Linked DNA regions of Mytilus edulis. The protein of the gene in region 3 interacts with the protein of the main gene of each other region in a pairwise test. Links are inferred from orthologs where the notes say so. Each region holds a gene or a part of one and is shown on either strand. Other genes may lie near its edges.

The links.
Region 1: the proteins of U6 snRNA-associated Sm-like protein LSm3 (region 3) and methylosome subunit pICln-like interact in binary tests that used the Homo sapiens proteins (3 or more experiments, as listed by UniProt). The link is inferred for Mytilus edulis from reciprocal best matches to the Homo sapiens genes LSM3 and CLNS1A.
Region 2: the proteins of U6 snRNA-associated Sm-like protein LSm3 (region 3) and U7 snRNA-associated Sm-like protein LSm10 interact in binary tests that used the Homo sapiens proteins (3 or more experiments, as listed by UniProt). The link is inferred for Mytilus edulis from reciprocal best matches to the Homo sapiens genes LSM3 and LSM10.

The regions. Positions count from the first base shown.
Region 1 is NC_092346.1:104,452,389-104,463,598, forward strand, and holds the start of methylosome subunit pICln-like, read right to left. Parts: upstream 4,591-11,210; 5' UTR 4,480-4,590; coding exon 4,343-4,479; intron 2,829-4,342; coding exon 2,686-2,828; intron 1,669-2,685; coding exon 1,579-1,668; intron 802-1,578; coding exon 730-801; intron 84-729; coding exon 1-83. UniProt on the Homo sapiens protein: Involved in both the assembly of spliceosomal snRNPs and the methylation of Sm proteins.
Region 2 is NC_092350.1:69,988,534-69,997,767, reverse strand, and holds U7 snRNA-associated Sm-like protein LSm10, read right to left. Parts: upstream 2,412-9,234; coding exon 1,971-2,411; downstream 1-1,970. UniProt on the Homo sapiens protein: Appears to function in the U7 snRNP complex that is involved in histone 3'-end processing. Increases U7 snRNA levels but not histone 3'-end pre-mRNA processing activity, when overexpressed. Required for cell cycle progression from G1 to S phases.
Region 3 is NC_092344.1:14,978,154-14,989,680, reverse strand, and holds the start of U6 snRNA-associated Sm-like protein LSm3, read left to right. Parts: upstream 1-7,087; 5' UTR 7,088-7,172; coding exon 7,173-7,193; intron 7,194-11,527. Other genes in the region: transmembrane protein 209-like, read right to left, coding at 1-5, 389-451, 1,157-1,329, 1,706-1,795, 3,200-3,395, 3,623-3,831, 4,477-4,608, 5,116-5,174 and 1 more. UniProt on the Homo sapiens protein: Plays a role in pre-mRNA splicing as component of the U4/U6-U5 tri-snRNP complex that is involved in spliceosome assembly, and as component of the precatalytic spliceosome (spliceosome B complex).

The DNA.
Region 1 (11,210 bases), on a different chromosome or scaffold from region 3:
TAAATTTTCCATACGTTGTAGATTGGCTTGACCTTGTTCTGATAAATGGTCTAATCCATCTTCTCCTTCATAAAATCCTCCTTCTATAAATACATACGTTGTAAATTTAGTAGCACCATTCAAAACTAACATTTTCACTAAAACTTGAAATTTTTCCATTTGTGAAGGGGCATAATTCTAGAACAGTAAAGGTGGTGCCACCAAAATTCAATCTTGATCTGTGCTTTGTGGTAATAAGTTTTGGGTATAAGTTCATAACATTTGGTTGAGCCAAAATAAAGTTAGAGAATGGAAATCAATTTTTGGATGTACAGACGAACAAGGGTAAAACTTAATGCCCCCTCAGCTATGGCAATGCATAAAAAATAAAAAAACATTTAATAATCAATATGTCTTAATTATGAAAGTTTAAAAAGATATTTCTCAATATTAATTTACTTATTAGTGGCTATGAATTACTATCTCATGGATGAATATCTCCTTTTATTTACACTACTTGCGAATGAAATCGTTACATATCTTTATAAATCATACACTTTCTTAAAGATTTTAACAATTGGTTGATGATGGAAGTTTTTAACGACCTTGACTGGCTATACAGCCCTTACGAGGTCAGCTAAACAATTGGCCAGCAGGTTTTTGTCCTTTTAAACAGAAACACAGACTGGGATTAAGCCAATTGATAAGTTACTACACAATTTAAACACAAATATTGTCTATAACATTTACCATCAAAATCTGAATCATTTTCATCAGGATGCAATATCTGACAGTCTGACATGGCTTTATATAACTGATCCACTGAAAAAGAGAGGTATATTGAAATAAAATTTGATATGGCTTAATATCACTGATCTACTGAAAAAAATAATTAGGGCAAAAGGTATTAAACTTAATGTAAGTTGTAAGACAATAATAACAAGCATTCTGAGAATCATTTGTACATAGTCCTCTACTGGTTAGCATGCATTGTACTTGAACAAAATGCTTACTTGATCTATTACTTGTCATGGTGTAAATTTATAACAAACATCAAGTCAATGTCTTCTAGCATGACGAAAAAAAGGGTGGAAAACTGATTATTTAATTGAGTCGTCCAAGGACAATAGCTATCATCAGACCAGAACAAAATTTGAACTTGATCTGTAACTTTTCATGATAAAACAATAGTCAAAACAGCAAATGTCAAATCAATAGCTGCAAACACAAAGAAAAAAATTGTGGAACACTGATTATTTGAGTGAATTTTTCAAGTCCAAGGATCATAACTCTGCACAAAATCACCAGCCAGAACAAAATTTACCTTGATCTGTAACCTGTCATGATATTAAAACAATATAGCAAATATCAAATCAGTATCTGCAAGCATGAAGAAAAAAGTGTGGAAAACTGATTTGCCAGACTAAAGGAGTCAAACCTAAAGCCGCCTTGGACTTGGTTGGTAGGGGACTAATAATAATAAATTTATAGATGTCAAATATTACGGACATTTAAAGTTAAATAAATCATATGCATGTTTTGAAAACAAGATTTATATAAAATTTCCAGTACAACTGTTATCCCTGAGAGAGTACATACACACAGTTTTATCGTCTGGTACAAATCTCATCTCTGTTGATGGGTCAAGGTCTTCATCATCTGATTCTTCCTCCTCTCTGTTCGCATCATCTACAACACACATGTAGTTTAGCACAATATAGTTTACCGGCTATTCTGTCAATACAATGTTAGCAAATTTTTTCAATATATTATACGACAATTTGGAGAAAAGATATCATTCTCAATTTTACAGTCAAACACTACTGCCACAAAAAACATCGGTAGATTTGAGGTTCACTGGGTATTTTGTCCATACAATATTCATCTTTTTTTATCATGTTTATACACCAAAAAGGATGAAAAGTTTTAATGTCCTAATAAGCATTAAGTGTTTTTTTAAATTTGTTAGATGTATGCCAGTATTATAATTATGTCATGTGTATGTATAACTGTTAACATGTACTGTATCAGTTTATTTCAAAAACTGATACACGCTCAAATAATTCAGTAACTTAGTTTAGTTTAAACATATTTATTTATAGTGGATTGGGAAACAATTTTTGCAACTTATATTAATCCCTTTCCACTTTGCGGGTGCGAGTGCAGCCTTGTAGCGGCATTAGCCTACTCTTTTTCGAAATCTACAAGGGTGTCTTTAACGTGCAAGAGATATGGCTCTCTCTTAACACGGGTCAGCCATTTATCGTCCCCTTCCGACAGACTATCATCGTTTCCTCAAGACCATACTAGCAGATGGTGTCAAGGGAGAGCTGAAAATTGAGTTCCTGAAACTTTCATCCCAAACGGGAATTGAACCAGGAACCTTTGTGTTAGTAGTCCGATGCACTAACCACTACACTACGGCTCTCTAACTATTCAGTAACTATAACATGTACATGTATAATATATATATAATTGTAGGATTTCTCTGTAATATTCATATATTATTTTTGTAAAGACTTATCATACTGATATACTGATGTTAAAAAAGCAAACTACAAAAGTTCGTTTTTGGTTGTTGAAATATATATGGCAAATCGTTAGCCTTCAGAAATAGAATACATGCATGACAATTGTAATCATAAACGCTTCAAATTTTTATTTTTATAACAATTCGACCAATATTAATATTGATTTATTGTTTACCAGTTAAATCTCCTTCCACCATCAAGTATAAACATTCATGTGGAAAGGCTGTTAAATCTCTGGATACAGCATGTATACTTATACCAGGGTACTGTAAGGAAAACCCTTGTCCTTCATGTTCTGAGCTCTGCCATGACACACAACTGAAATTAAATCATGAGGGACTTTAATGGGATATGAGATACGGTAATAATTTGACTTAAATAAAGCAAATTTATCAGATCATGATGATGTAATATTTTGAATGGAAATTGGCTAACTATGGTTAATGATTGGAATGCAGTTATAAGATTACAGTGGAGTCCCTGGTGTCCACATGGCTGTTGATATCGCTCATTAGCTGTGGAATGCAGTTATAAGATTACAGTGGAGTCCCTGGTGTCCACATGGCTGTTGATATCGCTCATTAGCTGATTTCGTCATATCTGCACAATAGCACAAATAAAACTGTTCTTGTAATTGTTTTAGCTATCAGAAGGGATAGAAAAGAATAAAATTGATAGTTGAGAGTAAATTTATAACTGCAATCCCATAATTTACCATATCTAGCCAATTTCCATTTAAAAATCAGATAAAATTTGTTTTATTCAAGTCACATTTATATGAGAATGGAATAGAATAGAATAGAATATTTTTATTTCCAAAATTACAGGGCCCATAAAGGGCATAAAATCAGATACAATTGATTTACATAATTGGTAACAACAACAATAATTAAGAGGCATATGCATATATATTTGGAATATAAGTATTGGAATAAATTTTGCTCTGCCTCATTGCAAGGCAGTGTGTTTGGTTCAAATTTGTAGTATTAAATCTTTTTCTTTATTCAAAATAAGCTATTTTTGGAAGGCATGAACGAAATCACCTGACATTTGACGGACTGGTAAAACAGGGGTTTCCATAATTTTGAACACATCAAATCTTCAGGGTGAAATCATACAAACAGAAGATTTAAGTAATAAAAGTATGTTATGAATGTGTTAATGCAATATTATCCAACTATTGGTTTTATCAATTGAATGAAGTGAAGTCATAAGTCTTAGGTGCCTAGATACACTGTACTGCCAATACTCTTGAAATTATCAATTTTAATATTTTTCTGTTCCTTTGGAAAACTAAAACAATTACAAGAACAATTCTACTTGTGTTACATTGCTTATATGTCAAAACAGGTAATGAGCGATATCACCAGCAGCGGGGACATTACTATATGGGGGTCTCATTGGGGGTTCTAATCCCGGTTCCCGCTTACTGTTAGATTCCCATATCCCGCTTACACTTAATGTATGTGGGCTAAGCAATTCTCATTTTTTTGTAATTTCCGGTGTTCCGCTAGACCTCATTTCCCATTTTCAGGGCAGAAAAAATTTGACTTTCATGTGTCAAGAGTACAAAAAAATTGGCAATCCCACGTCACGCTTAGACCCCAATGAGACCCACCTGTATGCCTGTATGTGTGTATTTGTTTGATTATTTTGTAAATTGTTTGTTATATTTCATTGCATTTGGCTTCAGGGAAGATTTGTGTTATACTGTGTAACACTCTTTAAATAAAGAATTATTATTATTATTATTATTGAAGTATACAAGTGTGTAAACACAGTAATCAATATCATATCATCAATTATCATCTAAGTTTGAGTTTGATAGCAACCTTTCTGCAATAAACAGCGTGCCTTTTCCAAGTGCTCTTTCGCCAACAAATGCTGACGTATTTTCCTGTTTTTTCCGTATCCCCTCATCTGGAGGGGAACATGAATTTAAGAGAACCATTTCTTCTTTGACAACCATGCGTCCAACGTGCGTTGCAAATTTAAAGTGAAACTATTCTCTAGATTTTTCGCTGTAAAATAAAAAAAGTCCAAAGAACATCCACGCAATATGTGTATCATCTCTGCGTTTGAGAAAGCGGTAGTTTGCATGTAAATATTCAAGCACTATTTATGGTCCCTTCTTTCAGGTTACAAAGTCAGTATATATCACTGAAACACATCCTACTTGTTATTGAAGAATGCCAGTGAAATAAAACAGGTAAATTTCACTCAATTAAATCAAAGACATAAACCGTTTTTTTTTCAACATACTTTTGCTACATAGTTATTTTTGTAAGAGCTTTTAGCTAATAAAATATGATGGATGTGCTAGGAACTAAAGTCTGAAAAATTATGGACGAAGATACATTTTATGAGGCAGTATCCTTTTATATTATTAAATATATAAAGAGGACGAATTCCGTATAAATGTGATTTGTTATACAGTTTTGATACTTTTTACTTGAATCAGCTTAATAATTTTGAAGTCAATACTATTGTCAGTATTGATTGATTGATTGATTCAGCTTAATAATTTTGAAGTCAATACTATTGTCAGTATTGATTGATTGATTGATTGATTATTTTTGTTTAAATAATACAACATAAGATCATACAATCTAATTGTTCATCCCAAGGTTGGTAGTTGTTAACAGAACTCATTATGTCAATACACAATCTACAGAGCTTATTATGTATTGTTGTATGTATACAAGACTTTAAAATAAATCTTTTATGCATTTTATACAATTTTGTACATAAAAAAAAACAAGGACTTGTGACTTACTATACAAATCCTTGAAAAAACCCATAATGATCAGGGATTCAGATTTGAGCGAAGAAGATGACTTCCTGTCTGTGACTTTTCTTTTCTGTTATTAAACCCTGATAAGCTAAATTTTGTTGTGTATTGGGAACCCAAAGGTGTCGTTAGTGTACATGGTGAAACTTGCAATCAATGGTATCATATTGATTGTTAGATTTTACCCAGTAATTCATATGATATGCTGAATGATAGCATTATAGGTTGGCACTGTTTAATTTTTGAAAATCCAAACTGCAAGCACATGCACTTTTTTCTTGGGTTTGTGCTAGTTCATCTACATGTAATTCATTTGAAATTTTATATCATTCATTGGACTTTTATATATCATTTGACTATTTAAATGTAGTCCAAATAATAATGAGGTCCAGCAAGACTATTTTGATTTTTTTCCTGGGCCAGACATCATAATGGGCCATTCCAGTTAATATCTGCTAAAGGGGGATGGATGGTCCTTTCTGAGGGGTGTTAAATTTATACATCTTAGGGGTGAAATTTTGGGTTTTTTCATCTGACACGTACACTTATACGCAAAAATTTCTGAGGGTCTTGCAGCAGTAAATAATTAAAAATAATTACATCTTAGGGGTTACAAAAAATACCTATTTCAGATCTTAGGGGTGCTTTGGAATGTAGACAGTTTCGTATCATGCACTATCTGGCATTATATTTAAAATTCTGATGGGTACAATCCTTGCAGTAAAAAATTCTGATAGGTCAATTTTTTCCATGAAAGCCCATCCACCCAATCTGAACAGAAACTCTACATCTGATAGGTCTTAATATATAGATCTGATAGGTAGTTTTTCGTGATGTTTTTTTCTGATAGGTATGAACAAAAATCTCCCCATCCATCCCCACCTGTCAGAAATTAACTGGAATGGCCCAATTATTTGGACTAATTCAAATGATGACTGTGCCATAAAAATGCCAAAGAACTTTTAAACGATCTCACCAGTCTACACCAAAATATACAAACAAAACAAACATAAATTGTTAGACATCTCTAAGAATACTTTACATCAATTTTCAGCTAAAATAATGATTGTTAGGTGTACATGTCTGACTGGCTTGGGTAATCTGACCTTGACCTCATTACAAGGAATTTATAATTTAAAGTATATAAGTGGTTGAGATAGGTTGCACATATCTTTGTGATAGTTCCATTAATGTTTGCCTAAATTTCAGGGTAGATTCTGTTCGGTTGCACATATCTTTGTGATAGTTCCATTAATGTTTGCCTGAATTTTAGGTAGATTCTGTTCATCTGTTGGGTTTCACATAGCTTTGTGACAGTTCCGACCATCAATGCTTATATTGCCTGCCCTTGCAACTGAAAGGTTAGGGGGCATATTGTTTTACCTCTGTCCTTCCTTCCCTCTGTACGTTTGTCCTTCCGTACGTCCCATTATTGGTATATCGTTATTCCGCATAACTCCTTCTACAGTTCGAATGCTAGGAAGTCTACTTTGCTATCTGTTTGTATATATACTGAAGGTGTGCATGTGGCTAAGAGTTTTGATTTTTGTCGAGCCTGCAACATATTTTTCATATGGATTTCACATGAGATTCTGACATGTGAAATGCATGTGAGCAATTTTACATGTGTATCCATTTTTTGTCTTGCGTTGACGGAGTCAAAAAGCGAGACATAGGTATGCTGTTTTCGGCGTCAACAATGTATTAGTTTGTAATTAGGTCTAGTTTATGGTGAACCACAAGTGGTAGGTCAATCATATTTGGTATGCCTTTTTATAAGCATTGGCAAATCTCATTTCCATAGAGATTATTTGGCCCTGCCCCCTCAGTCATGGTCTAGATCTATTGACTTCGAAACTTTTGCTTATTTTACATGTATTAGTGCCTGATTAGGTCAGTTTATGGGGAACCACAAGTGGTAGGTCAATGATATTTGGTATGCAGTTTTATAAGCATTGGAATATCTCGTTTCCATGGAGATAATTTGGCTCTGCCCCCTTAGTCATGGTCTATAGAGTTTGAAATTTATTCTAAGTTAAATCATGTATTAGTTTGTGATTAGGTCAGTTCAAGGGGAACCATTAGTGGTAGGCCAATTTTATTTGGTATTCAGTTGTATAAGCATTGGCACATCTCATTTCCATGGAGTATATTTGGCCTTGCACCTCAGTCACAGTCTAATGACTTTGAAACTTATCTTGGTTTACATTTATTAGTTTGTGATTAGATCAGTTTAAGATGAACTGCTTATGTTAAGTCAATAATATTTGGTATGCAAATTTATTGGCATTTGCAAGTATTGTTTCCATGGAGATTATATAGCCCCACCCCCTCTTCATGGTTCATTTACTTCGAAACTTTTTCAAAGTTTACAAGTTATAGTTTGTATTTAGATTTGGGAACGACTTATAATAAGTCAATGGTATGTGGTATGCAGTTGTATTAGCATTGGCACATTTCATTTCCATGGAGATTGTTTAGCCAGTTAAACTCAGTCATGGGTCATTGACTTTGAATATTTGCATAACTTGTGTAAGATGTTAGAGTATTGCTATTTGGATTTCAACATTTGCATAATCAAAATTACAAAAAGGCGAACATATCTCTGTGATAACAGTTTATTTTCATAAATTATGATAAAATCAATTTAATTACAAAAACTGAGTTGAAGTTTTTTACTGAGACTATTATGCTAACGGGACTGGAAGCTGTTACATCTAGTTAAAGAATATATATATAACTAGTCCAGTATTGTAATACTACCTTTTTTTTTGCATTTGATTTTGTTTTTGAAATGGTTCAGTGTAAATGTCAGAAGTATTGAAAATATTGATTAATGATATTACATAGATAGTTACAATAAGGGTACCAGTAGAACCAGTTGATTAATCACAGACTCCACATGTAAGCTTACCATTGATATTATATTAAAGTCATTTAACATGTCTGAATATTTAAACTATAATGTAAAGTTGATTTTAATTAGAATTTTAAAGGAACATTTATTTGGTATTTTCTTCTGTTTAAACTAATGAAACTTTTAATTGTGATCACGTTACATGAATTGATAAAAATAAAAAATTGCAAAAAATATTTGTTAAGCAAATTCAGTAACAAAGTGACACATGTAATGCTTATTTTTTTTAATCTATTTAAAAACACAAATTGATCACTTCCTTAAAATTGCCGGAACTGTATTACCATATATTATAATGAAAAAACTAAAAAAAGTATTGAAATTATGCACAAAATTCATCCATTCTTTCCTCTAGTAATTAAACCCCTTTCTAAACCTTAAGCTTTGGATTCTCACTGATGTCTTCTACAGCATTTCTGGATATAAGTCCTTGTTTATAACAGACAGTTCTAATTTTGACTCTTTCTGCATGTTTCCAAAAATAAGTTTCAATAAATGGAACACAACTGTTTCTATTTACTCTAACACTCTAATATGGAACAATATTTCTTGTAAGATTACATTTCAACATATTGACCAGCTGTACCTGGTTTCACTTGTACTCTTACATGTTAAAAAGAAACAGGATGTCCCTGTCAAATCTCATATTTTATGGGAAATATTTCTTATCAATGGATGACATTAGTAAAAAATGAAAATATTTCTATCATTAGGGGAGATTATGATCAGAATCAAGACAGGACATACTATTGATTTGTGTAAATGATTTAATGTCAGTTTACATTTGTTAACTGTTTAGAAATACACTAATTTGTGTGTACTATTGAAGAAATATATCTCAAAGGGTATTTTGTCAGATGTAACTAGCTAAACTATCCTAACATTAGAAGATATATATCAGCTGAAATGTTTGAATAGATATAAGAAGATCCAATGAGACAACTTTCCATCCAAGTCGCAACTTGTAAAAGTACTTCAATACTGAGTATTGGCTCACATCGAACAGTTAGCTATAAAGGGCCCCAAAAATGACTAGTGTACATGTAAACCAGCGGTCTAATCTACATTTGTATATAAAAAACAAGAAACACTTATGAATCATATCAACAAACAACTACTACTGACCATGAACATCAGATTCCTGAAGCATATATACATTTGTATATACAAATATAAATAAACTTTATTTACAAAAAAAATGATTTACATGTAACCCAATAACTGAGTGGATAACACATTAAACTGAAACAAAATAAATATATTTGTATTGAATATTGAATGATATAACAATTAATGGATTTAATCATTTTGGCATTATTTAATTTAAATTGATTCTACATGTACATTTAATGTGGGATTTTATGTAAATGAAAATGCGATCAAATGAATACTTGAACAAGGATTTGTGCATATGTTGTGTAGCATCATTAATTCAACAATTTTTACCTATACTTTATTTAAGTATAATAATCTTGTTATTTATATATTTATTTTTGTATTGTATATATTTTATCTTCAAACTGTACAGGAACATATAATGATCTTTATTTAAATCTCAATTGATAATGATAAATACAAAAATTGACCTTGTTTTGTAAACAATCAACACAGATAATATCTTGGGTTTGTTTATTTCAAATATCAGACCCTGGACACAATGTGAAGCTTTTAAACTATTTTGATTACTTATTAACCAGATTTACTTGCTGGCCAGCAGTTGATATTTTGCAATATATATGTTGAGAAAACCCTGTAATCTATAAAGAATGATATTCTTATGTATGCTCTTAGAATATTGATACTAGTATAATTCAAATAGTATTATATATATATTTAACCTTTAAATGCCATGTGAACTCCACCAACCAATAGAACTGGTATTATATATATATTTAACCTTTATCAAATAGTATTATATATATATTTAACCTTTAAATGCCATGTGAACTCCACCAACCACTTGAACTGGTATAATTCAAATAGTATTATATATATATTTAACCTTTAAATGTGAACTCCACCAACCACTAGAACTGGTAGTGACCAAGAAATTGATTTACGTCATTTATGTACACCATGTGCTGTTTGATACTCTGGTGATAAATTTTAGTACAGAAATATATATACAAACTAGGAATTTCTCGCTACATTGAAGACCTGTTGGTGACCCTCTGCTGTTGTTTTTTATTTGGTCGGGTTGTTGTCTCTTTGACACATTCCCCATTTCCATTCTCAATTTTATGTTTGTAATAAGATCTAGAGGTGTTAATATCATGTTTCTATACTCATCTTAAAACAACACTTAGAGTGCATTTTAACCCGAAATTTTGTCATCGATGACTATCGTTTAGTAAACGTTAAGCTGCTAGAAACAAATACATCATTTAATAAACTTCATCGACCCCGCGTAGTCAGACAGAAATAGATTACACTCACGCACTGTAAACAAACAGGTAAAAGTGCGGGAAATAAATAACCAGGACTTTATGAAAACAACACGTGCTCGTAATTATTTAAACGACAGATGCAGAAACAAATATATCCTTTACACGTCTCAACGATAAACGATCAACGACTACGCGACTATTTTGCGCGTACATCGTTTATGTAAACGATGTAAACGTTGACCAAAAACTGTAAGAAACAAATGGATTAAACGACTACGCGCGTAATCGTTTACGTCGTTTAGGTTAGAAACAAATGCGCTCTTATTTGAAAAAAAACAGATATTTATAGAAATCATAAAAGTGAATGACATTTGAATTAACGTGTAGGCTCAAATTTTTAAAATGTCAAACTTCTATTAGAGTTCATACATATACTACAATATTTTCCAGCAAAAATCTTGTCAGTTCAAATAGTTTCTGTATACTATACTACTACAGGAAGACTTTCATTTGTATCTTTCCATTAATAGTAGAAACATTAATTTTCTCGGGGTTAAAATTTTGTGGTTTTGTCTCTGTGTAAGATTTCATAAGGATTTAATTTC
Region 2 (9,234 bases), on a different chromosome or scaffold from region 3:
ACTGTACAGTATATCAAAGAAATCCTGAAAAAATTATATATATATATATTGACTGATTGGTAGTGAACTATGTCCATTTACATGTTCAGGATGATCACTTGTTCATATAAATTGTCATATAAAGATCCTCTGCAATAAAGCAAAAGGAGTGTTTTTATTCATTTTTATTTTTTGGAGCAGAATTATAAAAACAATCCATTCATAGTTCCTTTAGCCAACTACCAGAATAGTAAACAACAAACTGATCTTACTTTCTTAATTCTTTATCTTTTTATGCTCCACCTACAATAGTAGCGAGGCATCATTTTTTTGGTCTGTGCGTTTGTCCATCTGTCTGTCCTGCTTCAGGTTAAAGCTTTTGTCGTGGTAGTTTTTGATGAAGTTGGTGTCAAATCAACTTGAAACTTAGTACACATGTTCCCTATGATATGATCTTTCTCGTTTTGATGCCAAATCAGTTTTAATCCCGATTTTCTGGTCCACCGAACATAGAAAATAATAGTGCATGCAAGTGGGGCATTTGTGTATTAGGGACACATTCTTGTTATTGATACACATGTTGTATCCATTGTTGGTTGACAATGTTTGTACATGTTCATTTTTTTCTCCAAAGGAATAGGACGATGGTGGTTGTGTAGAGGTTATCTGAGCAACACGCCAAGTGCCACATGTGGAGCAGGATCCTCTTACCGTTTTAGAGCACTGAGAGCACCCCAGTGTTTCGTGTTGCTTCGTTTAGTTTTCTATGTTGCGTCTTGTGTACTATTATTTGTGTGTTTGTCTTTTTTTTTCACCATGGGGTTGTCAGTTTATTTTCGATATATATGAGTTTGACTGTCCCTCTGGTATCTTTCGCCCCTCTTTTATTATATCTATAAAAATTATTAAGCATTCAAAAAGCATTGCTGGTTGTACAACTACATGTGCCCTACAGTTTATACTCACTAGGCCTGACATCAATGTGTATTAAATTGAGACTGGAAATGTAATGGGGAATTTCCAAACCGTCAAAGAGACAACAACCTGACCACAGAGCAGAAAACAGCTCAAGGTCGCCAGTGGGTCTTCAACACAACAAAAAAACCCTGCACCTGGAGGCGAGCTTTAGCTGGCCCCTAAACAAAAATGTGTACTAGTTCAGTGAAAATGAACATCATTGGCAATCATACCACATCTTCTTTTTTATAATCACACGTAACTCCTAAACATATATGAACTTATTATAATAAATTTAAAAACATATATATAAGACTAACAAAGGCCAGTGGCTCCAGACTTGAGACAGGCACACAAATGTGGCAAGATTAAACATGTTTTGTGAAATCTCAACCATTGTCAACCCTCTCCTATACATCTATAGCCAATGTAAAATAAACAAACACACAACAATAAATGAACATACATGTACATTTTTGAAAGTACATTGTATCAGCAAAAACTATTGTCAGTATATTGAGATTGCATTGTGTATGGCATTCAGAAGTTCAGAAGGTTAACCATGTTAACAATTTTTGTTTTGGCTTATAATACTGAACTCAAAATACTACAATGAACTTTTTTTTTAGTACATTGTCACAAGGATGTATAACATACCTCCTTGGTTGTCATGATTGTATAATTGTCAATACACCTACATGCATAAATGTATATTTTTATATACATGTAAATGTATGTAAAAAATGTATAATCAAAGTAGCATGAATATTCACAAGTTAAGTTTATACTGCTGTATGTATAATTCTTTGAAATTATCCAGTGGATTGTGTAAAAATGTTTAGAATAACATAGTTTCAATATATCAGCATCTATTCTCATCATTTCTGCGTTTCTTACATGAACATGCTTTGAACATGATGTTGAATAGACAAAATATGGTTCTTCCAATTCCTGATTGTGCTGTACATTATTACTTGGAAACCTGTACAGTACCACATCCAGTGGTCCAAACCATTGAAAAATATTGTCCCGCATCAGTTAGGTGCATCTTTTTTATCGACTGCTTCTTTCAGCAATTTCTGTTCTTTTTCTTCTTTTTTCGTTATTTCTTTTTCTCTTTTCTGTCTCTTTTTTATAACTGCATCACTTATTGCTTTCTGCATCCGTTGCCGCATTATCCTTTCTTCATTTACCTCCCAATGAATCGCCTTTTTCATGTCAATTTCGTCTGGTATCTGTACAAATCTTATATTCGGTCCTTGTATGTAAAATTGCTCAAAATTTGTCATTTTTCCTGACAATGTTTTGAAGCAAACATTTGACATCGAAACACACATAAATCCGTCAACATAATCAATTGTTCCTGTGACTGTATGTTCATTCCGTAATTCAACAGTCGTCACTTTTCCTTCAAGCGCTTTTAACAAAGAAATAAGTGAATTTTTAATCAGAAATTTCTGTCGATTGCTTGCCATTTTAGGGATTATTACGGTCTAGGGAAAGAAACGAAAAGGGCATGGTTGAATTTTATGGTTCATCCGTATTTCTCTCCTAATATTGGAGAACCTCATAACACACTTGATTACTTACCACAAGCAGAGACATACAATGTATAATATTATACAATATATGTCTCTGCACACGTTTATGGATTGATTGTGGTTAATTATGCATGATGCTTGTTCAGGTTGACACCAATTTTGATATTTATTATTATTCTATACATCAATTGAATTTGAATTGTTTTACATTGTCTTATCGGGGCCTATTATAGCTGACTATGCGGTATGGGCTTTGCTCATTGTCGAAGGCCGTACGGTGACCTATAGTTGTTAATGTCTGTGTAATTTTGGTCTTTTTTTGGATGGTTATCTCATTGGCAATCATACCACATCTTCTTTTTTATATCATCAAATTTATATGTTCTGTAAAAATATACATACAGCTGCTGTTTTATGGAATGATCCCCTATATACCTGATGATTTTAGAAAAAGATGCCAATTTCATTCAGCTTAAAAGTATTTTAAAGTTATGGAATTGAATTAACTGCAACAGATTATTAATTAATGTTTTATAATAAAATTTTACCATTCAGATCATATACAAATATAAAGATATTAAGTCGAAAAAACAGTAAAAATTCCTGGAGTTATCTTTCTTTTGTTGTGTTGGATATGAGTTTCATCTGATTTGGAACATAAGTTCGCAACTTATCAACAACGGGGGCGGGTGCTTTACGACCTTGAATTCCTACGAACGTCTCGCTCAGTCGGAGGTTCACTACACAAACAAACAAAAAATATAGTACATAAATTGTATTAATTTTATAAGTACTGTTTATGGATTTGCAGAACGTGTCATGACTTCAAATACATAAATTAAAAAAATTACCCGAACAAGGATTGGGTCGCAATTATTATTTCATTTGGAACTATAGAAATAATTTATTTACGCCAATTAATATTTACTGAATTGTATAAAATCTTTGCAAGATAATCCGTTCAAAATTTTAACCACAAAACCCGTCTGAAATAATCTTAATACATTGCGTTTAAAAGTACCGTTTTTGAAAGTTCATTATCAGATTAAAGATTTAAATTTGGTCTCGTGATATCCTGCGTGTCTGAAGTACGGGTTGTCATGAGATCCATCGCGTTCAAAGCAAAGACATGAACGTTGATGTTTTGTTACACCACTGTCCGAGGTTAGGGAAAATGTTTTGCTAAAGCAAACATATTTAACCCGACCACATTCTGTAGGTGCCTATAATTTATTGCGTGTTGTTTGTTGCTGTATGTGTTTTAGATTTGAATTGTAATTCGTTTATTGTTTCTATACATGAATCAGGCCGTTACCTTTTTCGTTTGAATTGTTTACATTTGTCTTTTCGTGGTCTTTTAATGGTAACTACCGCAGTCTGGATTTTGCTTATTGTTGAAGGCTGTACGGTGACCGCTATAGTTGTTTACATCTATGGCAATCCGGCATACCAGATCGTCTAATTTTAAAATTTGCTGCTTCTCATTGGACTATTAAGAAAAAGACCAATAAGCCTCAACAAATCGATAAAATTTAGACCGCATAGCGGATCCAGAGGGGGTGATCCCTTTCGTCCAAAAAAATTTGGTTGATTATATAGGGAATCACAGAAGCATGACTGCAGAGTCTGGACGGTCAATCAGTACAACCTCTTGAAATAAATATCGGTACAACCGTACATGATGTAAGCAAACGACAAAGAATTATCAATGGAGTTTTTAAACGTAGTGTATTCTTTCAGAGGTAAACATTGTAAGTAATTATGTTAATCTGGAATAGAATGCTAGTCTACCTTAATCTGGTTTTTGATACACATAATATGGTATTAAGAACAGGAAACAATCCTTATTGTTTTGATAAATAAACAAAACCAAGCTTTAAACCTCTCAATCGTAGATCAATGCAGAGTTTAAAATAGATTTACTTTACTTTGTACCTAAAAACCGGGTCACAATAATTATCCCACACTGCTTGGAGAAAATCTGCCCCTAACCAACATTTTCTGCTTTTCCAGTGATAGAAAAAAAAACCACAAACTTTTGGATAACAAACAATCCGGTACCTATCAATTTAATAATAAAATGATATATACGTGGTTTAGCATGGATTCTTTCCAAATTGACGTTTGCAAGTAAATAAACTCATCATAGATACCAGGACTAAATTTTGCAAATACGCCAGACGCGTGTTTCGTCTACAAAAGACTTATCAGTGACAACCTTTGGTATATATATTATCGAAACCAGGCTCAAGCTACAGCCACTCGCTAGCAGCCACTACGCTAGCAGCCAGTTTTCGAATATGTCTAATAACCAAAAAGTTGCATACAAACAAACACATTGCCAAATACAAACATCAATTTTAATACAGTAATGTATATTGACTTGCTAAATATGTCCGGAAATTAAAAATTGTGTTTTACATGGGCGGATTCAGCCATTTTTAAAAGGGGGTTCCAACCCAGGATAATAAGTTGTTGTACTGTTAAATCAATCATCCTTAATCAGAACGATAGTTGTATGTGTGAGTGTATTCGAGTGGGAGAGAAAGGCTTTTTATTTTTACTTTATGTGATTACATGCTTGTTATGAACCCTATGATTAGGAAATAAAATATCTGTATCTTATAATAAGGGGGGATCCACCCATATGTCCCCATTCAATAGCACTGATCGTAAATAAGGGGGTGCCAATCTGGACCCCTCTCCCCATCGGATCATCCACCGGTTATGTTGAGTTTTCACGAAGAAGGATTTTGTGGGCATTTTTTCCCTTAGTTAAAAAAAAATGAGAATGGAAATCGTGAATGCGTCAAAGACACAATAACCCGACCATAGCAGAAAACAGCCGAAGTCCACCAAAGGGCCTTCAACACAGCGAGAAAATCCCGCAACCGGAGGCGGCTTTAGCTGGCCCCTAAACAAAAGAATTACATATTTACACCAAAAGTTAATCAACCGGGTAAATTCATTACTTGTAAAGATAATCTGTTCAAAGCTTAACGACAGCACTTGACCAAAATAGAATCATGTTTAAAAAAAGGTTTTTGTTAAAAGTTCATTATCAGATAAACAATTTATGGTCAAACCTTCGAATTCATGGACTGGTTTCAACATATGTCATTGGACGGGCTGGTCTCGTACCAACTTAGTATGCAATAAATCGAAGCAAGAACAATTTTACTGCTCTACTGTCTATACGTATGTAACGTACAAGTTCAAAAGAATTTATCAATTTTCGTAAAGAAACTAGTATGATTATGAAATACTCAAACAAAATTGTATTTTATAACATACTATGCATTTGTGTTTGTCTGTCCGGCCTCACTTTGTATTATCTTATGTTTGTAATTATATTGTCCTCTTACACACCTGTATGTGTCTGAGGTTATGAATAAAATCTTGAAAAAATCATGAAATTTTAATAGTGTGCGTGTCTCTTGTGCAGGAGGTTGTTGGTTTCGATCCAGGACGGATCCAACTTGAATTAAAATCTTGAATGACTTAAGAACTGGTAAATTCTGGTATTCAAATTTGTATAGGTAAATAGTGTAAATAATTATGTTAATCTGATATAGAATGCTTTTATAATTTAATAATAACTTGATACAAATAATATTGAATTACGAACAGGAAACAAACTTAACCGTTTTGTTTACAAACAAAACCAAGATTTTAATTTAATTACACCGTTCAATAGTAGACGAATGCAAAATGTGTTTTCTAAAAACCTAGCCACAAATAGTAATCCACCTGATACGAACGAATACGTTTTAAAAATCCGTGTACCTATCCAACATGCAATGCTCAGTTGGTAATATGAAATTCAGACTTGTTACACTGAGGAAATTACAGCTGCTCTGAATATCTCGTACGTGTTACAATGCATCTTAACAGATTTGTATATAAAATATCTATACAGAAACTGAGTAACGTATAAAGAAAAAGTTATATCTCTGCCCAGCGAATAAACTTGATTAAAACTCAAAGTATCGCCAAATAAACTTGGAACGTGATGCGACTATTTTGCATGTACATGTAGTCCTGAAAATCACACACACAAGACACAATATTGAAAACTAAAGACTAAGCAACACGAGCCCCACCAAACACTGGGGGTGATCTCAGGTGCTCCGGAAGGGTAAGCAGATCCTGCTCTACATATCGATTGAAAATGACGCAATGTTCTTGGGTGTTTGGCTTATCTGTATAAATTATCAGTCCACTATTCAAGGGAGAGCACTCCAATGAAAATTTAGACATAACATATCCCATTTTCTTTCTTCTTTACTACTGTTTCTCTCTTCTCTCTGACCAGACACCTGAAGATTCCTTATTATTCAAATTCGCGCATTAATTTTAGGACAACTATATTGTTCGAAATAAGATGGGATATGCACTCGACATTATCCGACTGTTAAAGAAAAATCTTGAGCAATACAATGAAATATTCCTCATTTGAAAAGTTTATGCATTAAATATTCAAAAGTTAAAACAAGTTAACCCTCCCCCCCATAAAACATAAAACTATCCTCTCTCAAAATACAACAACAAACGATGTTGCATTCAAGAACACAGTTTTGTTCCTTTTAATTTCAAGACTACCTACATTGTTGGTGAAACATGCTCCGAACCAGCAATCTCAATTGAGAGAGAGAGAGCAAAAACCGATAACTCAGCATGGGATACTGCCGAACCAGATGCAATCAATAGTCAATCTTCTGAATAAATAATTAGCATTTTTATTTACATTTTATTTACATACATCTTTTGCACCTTAAAAATAAAAAGAACACATAAAAATACTGTTTAAAACATTCATATCATTCAAACATAATTAAGTCAAAAAAATAAGCAAATACTATTACATGTACATGAACAAATAAAAATAAAACAATTCCGGTCGAGACATTGGATGATTCGTGTATACTGTATAGAGGGTTTCATGTAATGAGTCCGAGTTTTTTTCGTGAAAAATATACTTGTTTCACCTATTTTTAGTTCATGTATTAAAATCATGATGTAACTCCCTCTAGACCCTCCGTACAGTGTACATGTACTCACAAAAAACAACGATATACATGAAATATATACAGATGCGTATATACATGTAAATATATCATTTTTTTCTAACATTAATTCAAACAACACACACAGTTTTCATCCCTTAATGACTTTTTGGACGGAAACCGACAATGCATTCTTACAGACTAAAAATATTCTGTGAATATACTTTTTATGAAGAACGTTTGATAAAAATTGTTGAGCATGGAGTTTAATGAGAGCAACACAATTATCTTTTAAAATATTTTATGAATTAAACAAATGGGTTGTCCACTTACAAGCTTTGGACTTTTATTAGGCTTGTTAGTCGTCAAAAACTTTAAGTGTCCTCTTTATTACACGTAGACATTTCTTCACATGAACATTTGAATATTTTATATTTTAAAATAAAAATGACAGCAGCTTATTCAATCGGCAATTCTCGGGTGATTCCGCTTCTCTCCTTGTTAGATGAGGTACGGAATCGGCCGAGTTGTGACGATTGCAGCTTATTCAATCGGCAATCCTCGGGTGACTCCGCTTCTTTCCTTGTTAGATGAGGTACGGAATCGGCCGAGTTGTGAGGATTGCAGCTTATTAATACAAAGCAAAATGCAAACACATTTGAAATGATAAGTTCATAATTCAACTTCTTAAACGTAACACTATCTTCAACATGAGACTGAAATAATGAAAAACAATTCTACATTCAATGTAGAAACATTTACGAAGAAACGCTAAAAATCATTCTTCAACGATGCATTTATATAAATGATTAAAAAGAAGAAAACATCATAAACGAAATATAAATCAGTAACTATTAAACTTAACCCTTTCAATCTTATAGATTGCTTGTAGTTTTCATTTTGAATTCGCTTTAGTCTGTCAGTTCGAACCCGTACGTGTCAGGTGCGTTCGACTCCAATCTTAATTGACTAAGATTGACAATTTAACTGACAAAAGTCGGCGGTTCTCGACTTGTTCAACCTATAAACTGAACGACATGCTGTAGACAATTAGTATAGTGCTGAGAGTGGCACTAACACCAAAATTTAATCAATCAATCATTGTGCATTCCTACTCGATTATGCCCATACTTTCCATACTTTCATTTTCCATCTATCTCTCACTCTATCTCCCTTGTGCTCTCTCTCGCTCTCTCTCTCCGACAAATCTCTTTGTCTTCGATTTTCATGCACGCTTCTTAATAATTTCTTGTTATTTACTTTAGATTGACGATTTATATTATCTTTACATAATAGTGATGTATATTTCATGCAAATATCCGGTTTTAGTACATCCAACACCCAATTTTTATTATGTATTATCTAAATATACAATTCTGTTTTATCTAAATTTCCTGTAGAAAAAAATTCTCTAATTATATCATCTATCATAATGAACAGAAACATTATTTCATTAAAAGCACTTGAATAAATAAAAAAACATTAAATAAATCTAATTTGACATCAAAGGAACAGGTTAACTTTTACACAAGTCATGTATTATAAATTTACAATCAAACAAGTATAACACACCGCAAAAAAATAGTTCGTATTACGAAAACGCCTATATCGAAATAAAAGCAAAAATACTGATTGAAACATATTAAAACGTCAGTCTTTTTTTCTAGATTTTCTCTCTCTCTGATGAAACAGTCAATACAATACTATATATACACAAGTTTTTGTCATGAAATTATATATATAGGATCTAT
Region 3 (11,527 bases):
ATCCACTGTACAAATACAAAGAAGATTTGTATTGCATTATTTCTTGATCTTATTTCAAGGAAAATAAAATATTTTCCACAAATACATAGAAAAAAGGTATTTATTAGTTAGTAGTTTTATATATATAAAAAAAAAGTAATCAAATGAATCCTCTGAACTGAGACAACCTTAGTTTATGGACAGAAATGTAATTTCTCAAGAAAACTTGCAAACAACACTTGAAAACATTAAGTGCAGCTATTACCAGTAGTTTCAAGACTTACGGGGACCTTAAGTTGTAAAACTTTTATGTCATTCCGTCTTTGGTGGAGATTTGTCTTATTGGCAATCATACCACATCTTGTTTTTAATATTATTATCTGTTTATGGCCAAGAACAGTCTACTCACCTTTCTTACTCTCTCTGTCCATAAATATAATTCATCTTCTGATACACGCCTCTTACCCCATATCTAAATAGAGAAGATAAATATGGCTGCTATATATCATTCATGATTTTGTATATTTTTTGGTAAATAAATCAGGCTGTTATTTTTCTCATTAGAATTGTTTTACATTTGTCATTTCAGTATCTTTTTTTAATTTGCTATGTTGTATTGGTTTAGCTCTTTGTTTGAAGGCTGTGCAGTGACCTATAGTTGTAAAATTACACATCTTTTGGTCTCTGGAAAAGAGTTTTCTTATTGGAAAGCAAATCACATTTACTTATTTTTGTATTACATATTCAAATAAAAAGATCAAAGTTCAATAAGTCATAGTTTGATGTTTTGAAATGCAGCATTTGTTTGAATTAATAGTCATGTATCCAGTGGATTTCTTAAATAATACATGAAACAAGATAGTTAATATATAAACCTGCATTTTACCTCAATTTTCTTACTAGGTCAAAATGAAACATACTTTTCTATTATGAAACAAATTAGTAATATATATCAAATGAGGGTCTGGAAGTGTTCCTTCGTTTCTTTTAAGAAATCTATTCTTCATTTATCTTGATCTTATTCTCTATTCTTAATATTGCAAAACCCCATTATTCTCTATTTTTTGGCATATTTTTCTACATTTTTTTATATTTTTTGCCCTTAATTCTGCACTTTCTGACCATTATCTCTTATTCTTTACACCCCATCCAGACCCTCTTAAATAGCATTGCTTACATCTTCCCCATTGTACAATGATGATTGGTCACTATCATAATGTCTAGACATGGGTGATTGTGGTGACCTGCTAGCCAACTGGTACATATACTTCTTTAATAGGTGTGTACAATCCATTGCTGATCTTCCATAACTCCAGAATGAGGCTCCAGCTGAGGTATTGTCAGGTGAACCTTCAATGTTTTGAAATAGTAAATCTGTAGTTTATTCATCATTATATAAAAATTTCACTAGTCTATTCATTTTTTCTAGTAAAGTTATAATTACGCATCAACAGTTCTCTAAATATAACATAAATTGTCTAATTAATATTCTCTATACACTTATTCATGTACAAATGCAGCAGTCTTCCATTGCATGATTGCAATAGAATTAAACTTGAATTTACCATAATTTCTTATCTGTGATCTGACAATATATTCATTAGTTATGAGTTAACTGGCATTAGAATATACTATTGTTTTATAGGCAACAAAAGAAGAATCAGCTATCAAGTTATGGCAGAAATCAGAAAACTACTACTGTTAAAGTCAACAAAAACTTTCTTACTCAAAGCTGATTTATATTCTCTTTCATCTTGTTCTTTCAAATACTGGCTGAGAGAATGCAGGTCTGTGATCCTATCAAAGGATGTTGATGCTAAAAGTAGAACAGTAAATAGTTATTGAAATGGTGTTGTTTTTAAATAATACCTCCTGGCATTTGTGATTTCAATGTCAGTATCATATCCACCCGACTACATGGGTAGTTTTTTTTTGTACATAATAAAACAAAAGTAATTTTCAAAAATGGTGAATGCTTTTAAACAAGAGTGCACACGCTGAAATGTCTCGCCTTCTATACTAATCATTGATATTATGTTGATAGTCCTAAGTATAAAGCTAAGCTTTATTACAACTGTCACATAAACTTAACATTAACCAAGATAACTAATCAAAGACCAATGAACCTTGAAAATGAGGTCAAGGTTAGATGAACCATGCCAGGCCGACATGTACAGCTAACAATACTTCTATACAACATATATAGTTGACCTATTACTCATAGTTTAAGAAAAATAAACCAAAACACAAAAACTTAACACTGTGCAATGAACTGTGATGAGGTCACGGTCAAATAAAACCTGTGCGACTGACATAAAGATAATAAAATATTTCCATACACCAAATACAGTTGACCTATGGCATATAGTATTAGATAAAAAGACCAAAACACAAAATCTTAACTTTGACCACTGAAACATGAAAATGAGGTCAAGGTCACATGACATCTGCCCGCTAGACATGTACACCTTACAATCATTCCATACAACAAATATAGTAGACCTATTGCATATAGTATGAGAGAAACAGACCAAAACACAAAAATTTAACTATAATCACTGAACCATGAAAATGAGGTCAAGGTCATATGACACCTGCCAGTTGGACATGTACATATTACAGTCCTTCCATACACCGAATATACTAGCCCTATTGCTTATAGTATCTGAGATATGGACTTGACCACCAAAACTTAACCTTGTTCACTGATCCATGAAATGAGGTTGAGGTCAAGTGAAAACTGTCTGACAGACATGAGGACCTTGCAAGGTATGCACATATCAAATATAGTTATTCTATTACTTATAATAAGAGAGAATTTTCGTAACATGAAGCATCTATATACAAAGTATGAAGCATCCACCTTCTAAAATATAAAGCTTTTAAGAAGTGAGCTAACACCGCCGCCGCCGTAGCCGCCGCCAAATCACTATCCCTATGTCGAGCTTTCTGCAACAAAAGTTGCAGGCTGGACAAAAACTACTTCTAAAAATATCTTTCTTTTGTATTTTAGGTAATATCATCTCATGTATCCCTTTTTTCTTCCTTTAGACATTCTATTTTTCGTCTTTCTTCCTTTCTTTCGTCCTTTAGCCATTATATTTTTGTCTTTCTGTTAAAATTAACTTTATAAAAACCAAGTGTTTAGTATATTGAATATAAACCTTTTTGGCGATATCAATATAAAGTATTGAGAGTTATATATACATCTTCATTTTACCTGGAGAAGCCTTGAATGAATTAGACATGGACCTCCTTCCTCGCAGTCCACTGGAATCAAAACTGTTCTGCATTCCAGGTGAAAAGGAACTTCCTGGTGAGAACGATGGATGATGGGTAAATCCTGATACATTAGGAGACATGGAGGAATTGTGAGCAAATGATGTACCAGGACTAATACTGCTGAGATTCTGAACCTTAAATTAACAGATTTGGAGAATCATTAGCCCATTATATTGAGAACAACTTAATAATTAAATGTAAGAGCTTTTCAGTATTTAAATAACATAGATATTTAAAATATCTTAATATTTTCAGCTTTTATCTGTCATGTTTATATTAAAACTATGTTTGTAATTACATGTAGTGGATAATGAATAATTCAACAAGAAAATATTTCCTCTCCCCAAACAGGTAAACATACCCCACTAATATTTGCTGCTGGTGAACTGTAAGTTGAATATACAATGGAGTGATTACTGAAGCTAATGGGCCCAGACATATTTGTAGGTGTCGTCTGTCGCTGACTTGCTGTACTAGAGAAACTAGAATGAGCTGAAGGTGTACTAGACAGCATTAAACTTTCTTCTGATGATAAATTCAATTTCCTTGGTGAAACACTGAATCCAGCATCTGAAAAATAGAATCCAAGCTGTAAGTCTTGTAATAAATAAAGTATAGTGTAAAACTGTAAATCCACTTGTTTTGAATCAATCTTTCCGTATTCCTTTTTAGGGTTTTTGCTTGTTTTGCATGCTTTTAGCCTTGATTGTTAGTTTTTAATTTTTTGTTTTAATATTTATTTTAGTATTGACCTTTTATCTTAAGGTAGGCATTTTTGTTTTATTTTTTATTTCAGTATTTGAATTTGACACAGAATGTACAGTGCCTTAAGAGTAATTCTTTTTTTTAAATAGGGCCCTTGATAAATTTTCATTATCATTATTTTTATTATTATTATAAATCTACAAAGCAGTGTTCTTAGAAACATATCTAGATGCATTGGTGACCCACAATGTTTAACAACACAAGGTTTTGTTTAGTTTTATTATGCATCCTTGAATGAATAAATTTATAACATATAAGTTTAGTTAAAATACAGTTTAATGATTGAGTCATTCTTAATTTCAAAATTTTAAAACAGATTCAGTACTATTCCATACAGGTCCAAGGTTTGTTTAATTTTTCAGTAATATATTTTACTTTTCATTTTTTTTTTCATAATAAATTTCATCTGCTACTTCACATCAATATCAAACAACTTAACCATTCATTTACCTATATCTCTGACAGCTAGGAGTTTTTTCTGCCCTGGAGTCATCATTACAGACTTGGTAGATACGTATGGTTTAAGGTAAACAAAAAAGTTGGTCACACTGTTTAATAAAAATATCACAGCCAGAATACATTCTGAAAAAAATACAATATAAAGTATGATTTTATTCATTACTTTTTTTATTAGTATCCTTTATGTCATCATGCATATGTCATGGTGCAATTGTCAATGTTAAATTTGCATTGTACGGTCTTCGTCTCAGGTACTACAATTTATAAGCAATAGTCAACTTACTTTATTGGGAATCTACATCTTAATAAATTTATCTTATATCCATCAATCTGAACTATATATCTTAGCACGCTTATTTGTGAGCAATGCCTTCAATAAACATTTTTTTTTCTAAAATATATATTTAGTGTTGTTTCTCAATCACTACATGTGCTTTTTTGTCTATAATTCTATAATACCTGCATTTTTTCAACACATATTTTTTGCATGTTAACTCTTTGTATGTATTTGTATGCATTTCTTCTCAAGAATGGTATTTTTCACAAATACACCTGAAAATGATATTTTTGTTCATTTCTAAAAAAAACATGAATAAGTGTCTGCCAATTCATTCTTTTAGTGTAACTTACCAAAGTACCATAGTACAGGATGTGTGATGTTTAAACTAGATCCTATACTGTTCAGCTGCCTGTAAAGAAAAAAGTTCAAAAAATTAATAAACAAATCATAAAGGCCTTCAAATAAGTGTTCATTGTAAATTTAAATTATTTATTTACATTCTCCCTTATATAAGTCAAACTATTTGATATTTTAACATAAAGTTTTGACCTACAATTTTTTTTACTTACAATGGTTTACTTTTACAAATTGTGACTTGGATGGAGAGTTGTCTCATTGGCACTCATACCAAATCTTCTTACATCTTTATCTCATTGTCATTTCCAGTTGCTATCACAAAGCTAACATTATTGGTTCATGACCTTTCTCATATTACATGTTAATTTCTCTATAATGCTGCAAACTAAGACACTGTCATTGACTGGACATTAAATACTTCACCGCATTTAATCTAAAACTGATATCATAAAGTCTTATTAGAGATTCAAATATTTAATTTAAAACATGTAAAATTGGTTCTTACATTTCCATGTACATCACTATAGCCAAAATGATATTTACACAGCACCAGAAGGAACTCTTTCTTGCCTGTTTCCATGACTGCCTTTTATTCCAAGTCTCATTGACAACTGGATCTGTAACTGTACCAATCTTTGTCATCCTGCTACCTACAATTAACATTATATCAATTTAGTTTGCTCTATTGATCTTTATGTCATCACTAACAAGATATTAAAATTTGAACCATATTAGTTTAACAGTTAAATGTAAATGGTAATTATGACACAACAATGCATTCTTTAAATAGAACAAAAACCTGTGAGACAAGGATAAGTAAACTTCATGAAAGTCTGTCTGTCTATCTAGATCTATCTAAACTATATAGGGGGTCTCATTGGGGGGTTCCAATCCCGGATCCCGCTTACTGTTTTGTCAGATTCCTGTATCCCGCTTACACTATGTACGTAAGCAATTCTCATTTTTTTGTCATTTCCCGGGTCCCGCTAGACCTCATTTCCCGTTTTCACGAAACAATTACTTGACTTTCACATGTCACGCTTACAAAAAAATCGGCAATCCCATGTCACGCTTAGACCCCAATGAGACCCACTGTATACACAGTAACCTTATCGCTATTTGGAAATCGGTCCCCCTTGACCTGAGAATCTGTTCTGCTTGAACTTTTGACGTCATACAAAAATCACTTAACCATAGTAGCGGCATATTTTTACAAGAATTTTGTGATGTCCAGTAATGTCAGACAAATATAAAGCAATAGCAGATTTAAGGTGTATTGATCTGACTGTCAGACATAACTAGTATGTCAAATTGATCTTAATTTGTCAGACCAGGAACATATCAATAGATTACTGTTCCTAGGTCAGACTTTAATCTCCTTATCAGGCTTTATATGACAGAATAAGATGATGCTTTTTCACACAAATTTATACCTGGTCACAGTGTTCGACTGTTGGTCGCTGTCAAAAGTGTCATTTAGTTACAGAATAAAAACTATAAAAATAAAAAGGGTGTATTTGTTTTCAATAGGTTTTATGAAGGACGTATTCTAACAACAATCAATACCAGACGATTTATGTCAATCGTTGTTATTGTTAATCAAAACATGCCGCCTCGGCTTCTTCAAAGTAAACTTCCGGTATAAATCGAGTCGTATAAAGGCCAACTCGTCCCTACAGATTTCGCTTGATAACTATTTTATATACAATCAATGTATTTTAATGACACAAATGGGAATAATGCAAATTAAAAAAAAACAACTGTTTTTGAAGGGATCAATCTATTAAAATAGTTTAATATGCAAAGGCGAAATTGGAAAGTCCCGTTCAGAACAAAGCTGTGGTACGATTAAGTACCGAAAACTCATGTATGTTAAATTTCGAAAGATTTTGATGCAAAAAGTTATATCAGCATAATAAATTTATGATTTCATTATTAAGTGGTTTTATTCTAGCACAACATACACCCTTTATACGCAATTACATTATTAATGAATAAACACAAAATGAACTTAGATTTTGGGTTATAAGATCAGACCAATAACTCGAAGATGGCTGATGAACAAGAGCAGGTGCGTTTGGACGACCAGAAAATTTGTGAATTATGTGTTTTCGAAATTTTACTAAAGCTGTTACACATAAAAATGTTCAAATTAATCAATCAATTATTTCGAATTTCATTTAATTCTCAGTATTTCTTTATTCTAAATGTCTTTTCATAAGAGTTTAGATTGTTGACTACTGAAATTGATAGAATTTGTGACAACTCGCCCCATATCTAACATGTATAATCGGCCCAACAAATACCTGCTAACTCACCAACTAGTATTCACAAAACATCTGTCAGATGGTGTTGTAATTTCTGCTTCTTGGTACAAAAAATGTATGTTTTTGTATAGTTTTAAAGCCAGCAAATACGAATTAACTCATAAAACTCTCTCTCTCTCTCTCTCTCAGCATTGGTAGCGTGAATAAATAATCAATAGTAAAAATGATGCCTGTATTAAACTTCTAGTACAGCAGATATATTTCCATACATCCATTCGAAAAACAATATATAATTAACATATGGGGCGGAGGTACTAAAATAACATTCTTTCTCTTGTATTTTTGTACGGACCAAATGGGATTATCTTAAATTCTACACTGACAATGTAAATAAATGCAAGGCATACAGCTATCTGCGCTGCTTCTTACCTCTAAACTACGACCCATATTCATAAGATAAACGGCAAACATACACCTAAATACGCTGCTTCTTACCTTTAGGAACCCCCGGGTGCCTTGCTGTAAGTGAAATGAAAATACATCAAGGAATGACGAACGTGACATTACACTGTTACTTATTTGAAATTACCGGAAGTAAATATTCTAAGCAGGAAGAAAAACATTACGTCCAACATTGACATAAAATATAGGAGTCTTCGACTCAAAATTCTTGTAATAATTAACTCTTATGAATAAACAAATCTAGACATATTTATTCTTCCAGTTAAGAACTCATACAATGTAAATGTACCATTTCTGGTTCACGCTTTAATAATATGGACTCAACCGTTAGGTTCTGAACAATACATGACAAAGTTGCGCCATACATTTTTGTACATGTATATGACGTTATCGATACAGCTAATAACATAAAGTAAAATGTACATTATTTACTCCTTCAATATATATACTAAACACTAGAAATAACTTATGATAACTTTATTAACTCTCTTAATACAATAGTCACAACATTCCTTTACTTGGGAATACCCAGTGCACACATTAACAACAGATGGGAAACACAGGTTTTGTTTGCTGTAAGCACACATACTTCTCATAGACAGTAGTCCAAATAATTGTGGAGTACCACTTATATAAGTGATTTCATTATTACCTATTTCAGTGGTTTGATAATATCTGTTATCACCTGTTGGTGTTTCCTTTAATCTTGGAATGTATATATGTAACTTTCATCCATTTTCTATATTTTGAGAAATTTTTCTTCAATTTCTCTACATACATCAATTATCCCTTTCTCTTGTACCGGTATATATAATTTCAGTTGGTGCACTTGGTCAGTAATTAAGTGCTCTAAAGCTTTTAAAATTACCCTTGGGAATTTGTCTGTACGGGTAATCAATTATTCATTACTACTCTTACAAACAGACAAAGGTAAGCATTTTAAGTAACCTGATTGGTCTTTTTTCAAGTTGGGCAGCAATCATTTACCTTCAAAAAGAAGGGGGATATATACAGTTTGTTGTTTGAGCCAGAAAATTTCAGTTGAAAGTCCTGAACATACATAAGATTCAGATATTTGCCACTGGATATTGAGCAACGTACAGTGAGTCAATCAGGCCAAAATATATAGATAACATCTATAAATTTGACACCATTAAACTGGAAGTGGCTCCTTTACAGGCCTTCCAAAAAATATTTGAGCCAGCCGGACATTTGATATCTGATTCCGATTTTAATCCCTTAAGACTTAAAAGGCAATTGTGGTAATCAGATGGCCATTCCAATGATTGACATTTGATTAGAAAAAAAAAGCATTTTCAACTTTACTTTGATATGAATTTGATATGAAACTGTTAATTTGGCAGTGCATCATTCAAAGTGTGCACATCAGCGTGCTCATATCTGCCTTACACTCTTTATTTGTGCAAAATGACATTCAGTGACATTATTAAAGGGAAATCACACTATTGTTTATACGCATCGCTATCGGGGCCGCTATAGTGTCGTAAAGTTCTGTATTATGACGTCGCCGTTTTCGTGTCCGTCGTAAAGCTAGTTCTTATTTTAAAAAAAATAGCGAGCCGCTCGAAGGGACGTTCCACTAAAGCAGGAGAAATGATAATGAACATATGATATTTTTTACAACTGTTATAATTAAAATAAAAATACGTGTCCATAAAAAAGGGTCTGATTGTATTGGGGTAAATTTACGGAATACAGAATAATGGGCAAATACTGCAGAATAAAAGACAAAAAACAGAAGATTAGAGAATGAAGCTTAAATATAAAGAATAAAAAATATTGGAAACACTAAATAAATATTAATAAATGAATGACCCTCTATCCAGACCCTTATGATTAAAAGAACATATCAATACAAAACACATAATCATCATGCATAATCACCACTAAGAACGATGGAAATTCATAGCATATTCAATATGATTTAGTACCCTCTCGGACCATTTTCTCGAAAACGAAGTCGGTGACAAATACTTTTTTTTGGCAGCGTATCGTCGCGATGCGGTATGTAGAGTTCATGGTATATTTTCGGGGGGGGGTGGGGAGAGGGGTACAAATAGACCAAGAGTAGCAGCATGTAAGCGTACACTTCCGGAATCTGTAGTTTTCAGTCCAACAGAGGAATGTAAATAGGAACAATGAGTTTCGACCGTTTTCTCATATAACATGCATGAAACGTCATAACTATAGTTTTCTATACTACATGTATAAATAATTCATCAAAAATCTCATTTCACATTTATATTTATCCGGTGCAGCCTGTCGGGTTAATACAAAGCAGGGTCAAAATTAATATGTTCTAGTTCTGAATACTAGTATGCATTAAACTTGCCACTGGACGTAAATTATGTGTGACGTGCTATTTGAAATCGTAATTTATTTCACATGTGACGGCAGAAATTATCCAAGTGTCGTCCATCTTTCCCGAATGTTCCTTTGACATCTAATGCCTCTCACTTTTTTTTTGGGGGGGGAGGGGGGGGGGGGGGTATGAAAACAAGTGATTTGTAGAGTAATCATATTTATTGAAATATTCAATTAAAAACGTTAATAAAATAACGAAAATCATCCAAAATTTTACATCAGTTGCTGGCTGTCGAAATCAAAGAAAATTTAGCACCGTATTGTATTGTACATAATTCTCAATCTCTCTTTAATGCTTTGTTCAGGCTAACATAATTTGGGCACAAAAAAAATCATATTTTGTAGTATTTCTTCAAACTGTTGTTAGCGAACTGTAGGACCAACAAGTTAAAAATAAGGCCGCTAGACTTCAAATAATCTGGGAATATCAAACACTATGCATAGTTATATATTTTGGTACTATTGATGACCTACACCAACAACAATAAAATGCTTCGCTGAGCGCAGCCTGATACGCCCGCAGAGGTTGAACAGTTTTGGCACGTTTGGACACAATACCCAAGCTTGATATATATACTGAATTTGGACTGTGATCAAATTTTTGACACAATATAGGTTTCTGACACAAAATAAATATGGTCGAAGGTCTTAAAAATTTATTGTGCAATTGGAGATTTCTTCTTGATATATTTCAAAAAATTTGAAATTTCAAAAATTTGCAGAAAAAATTATGACCCCCGCCCACCCCCTTCCTCTTGTAGCAATTACCCCCACACTCAATCCAAGCCTTCTTTTTGTGGTGTGGAACCTTGTAGTACAATTTTAGATAGATCCATACACTCAAACACAAGTTATTGTAAAATAGTATAACTAGTAAAATGCTTGTTTTTGAACCCTAATTCCTGAACGTTTGGAGCAATTACATGTACCCCCAACCTCAATTTGTGATATGAAACCGTGTGGTACAATTTCAGAGAAATTCATTACTTCTCAATGTCATATAAGAAATTAATATATATCAAAACGGAATTTACATCAACAGATATAAACAATTCATCAAAGTTGTATGAAAATTGGTGAAAGCATCTTAAAGTTATCGTACGAAAACTGAAAAATCGCCCCTTTTTAATGAATAAAACCCCATATCTCGGAATCGTAAAATCAAAAATCTATAAAATTATAAAGGGAGCTTACATCAATCGATATGAACAATGCACTAAAGTTTCATGAAAACTGCTGAAAGCACTTATTGAGTTATTGTCCGAAAACTAAAAAAAACTTTTTTTAATAG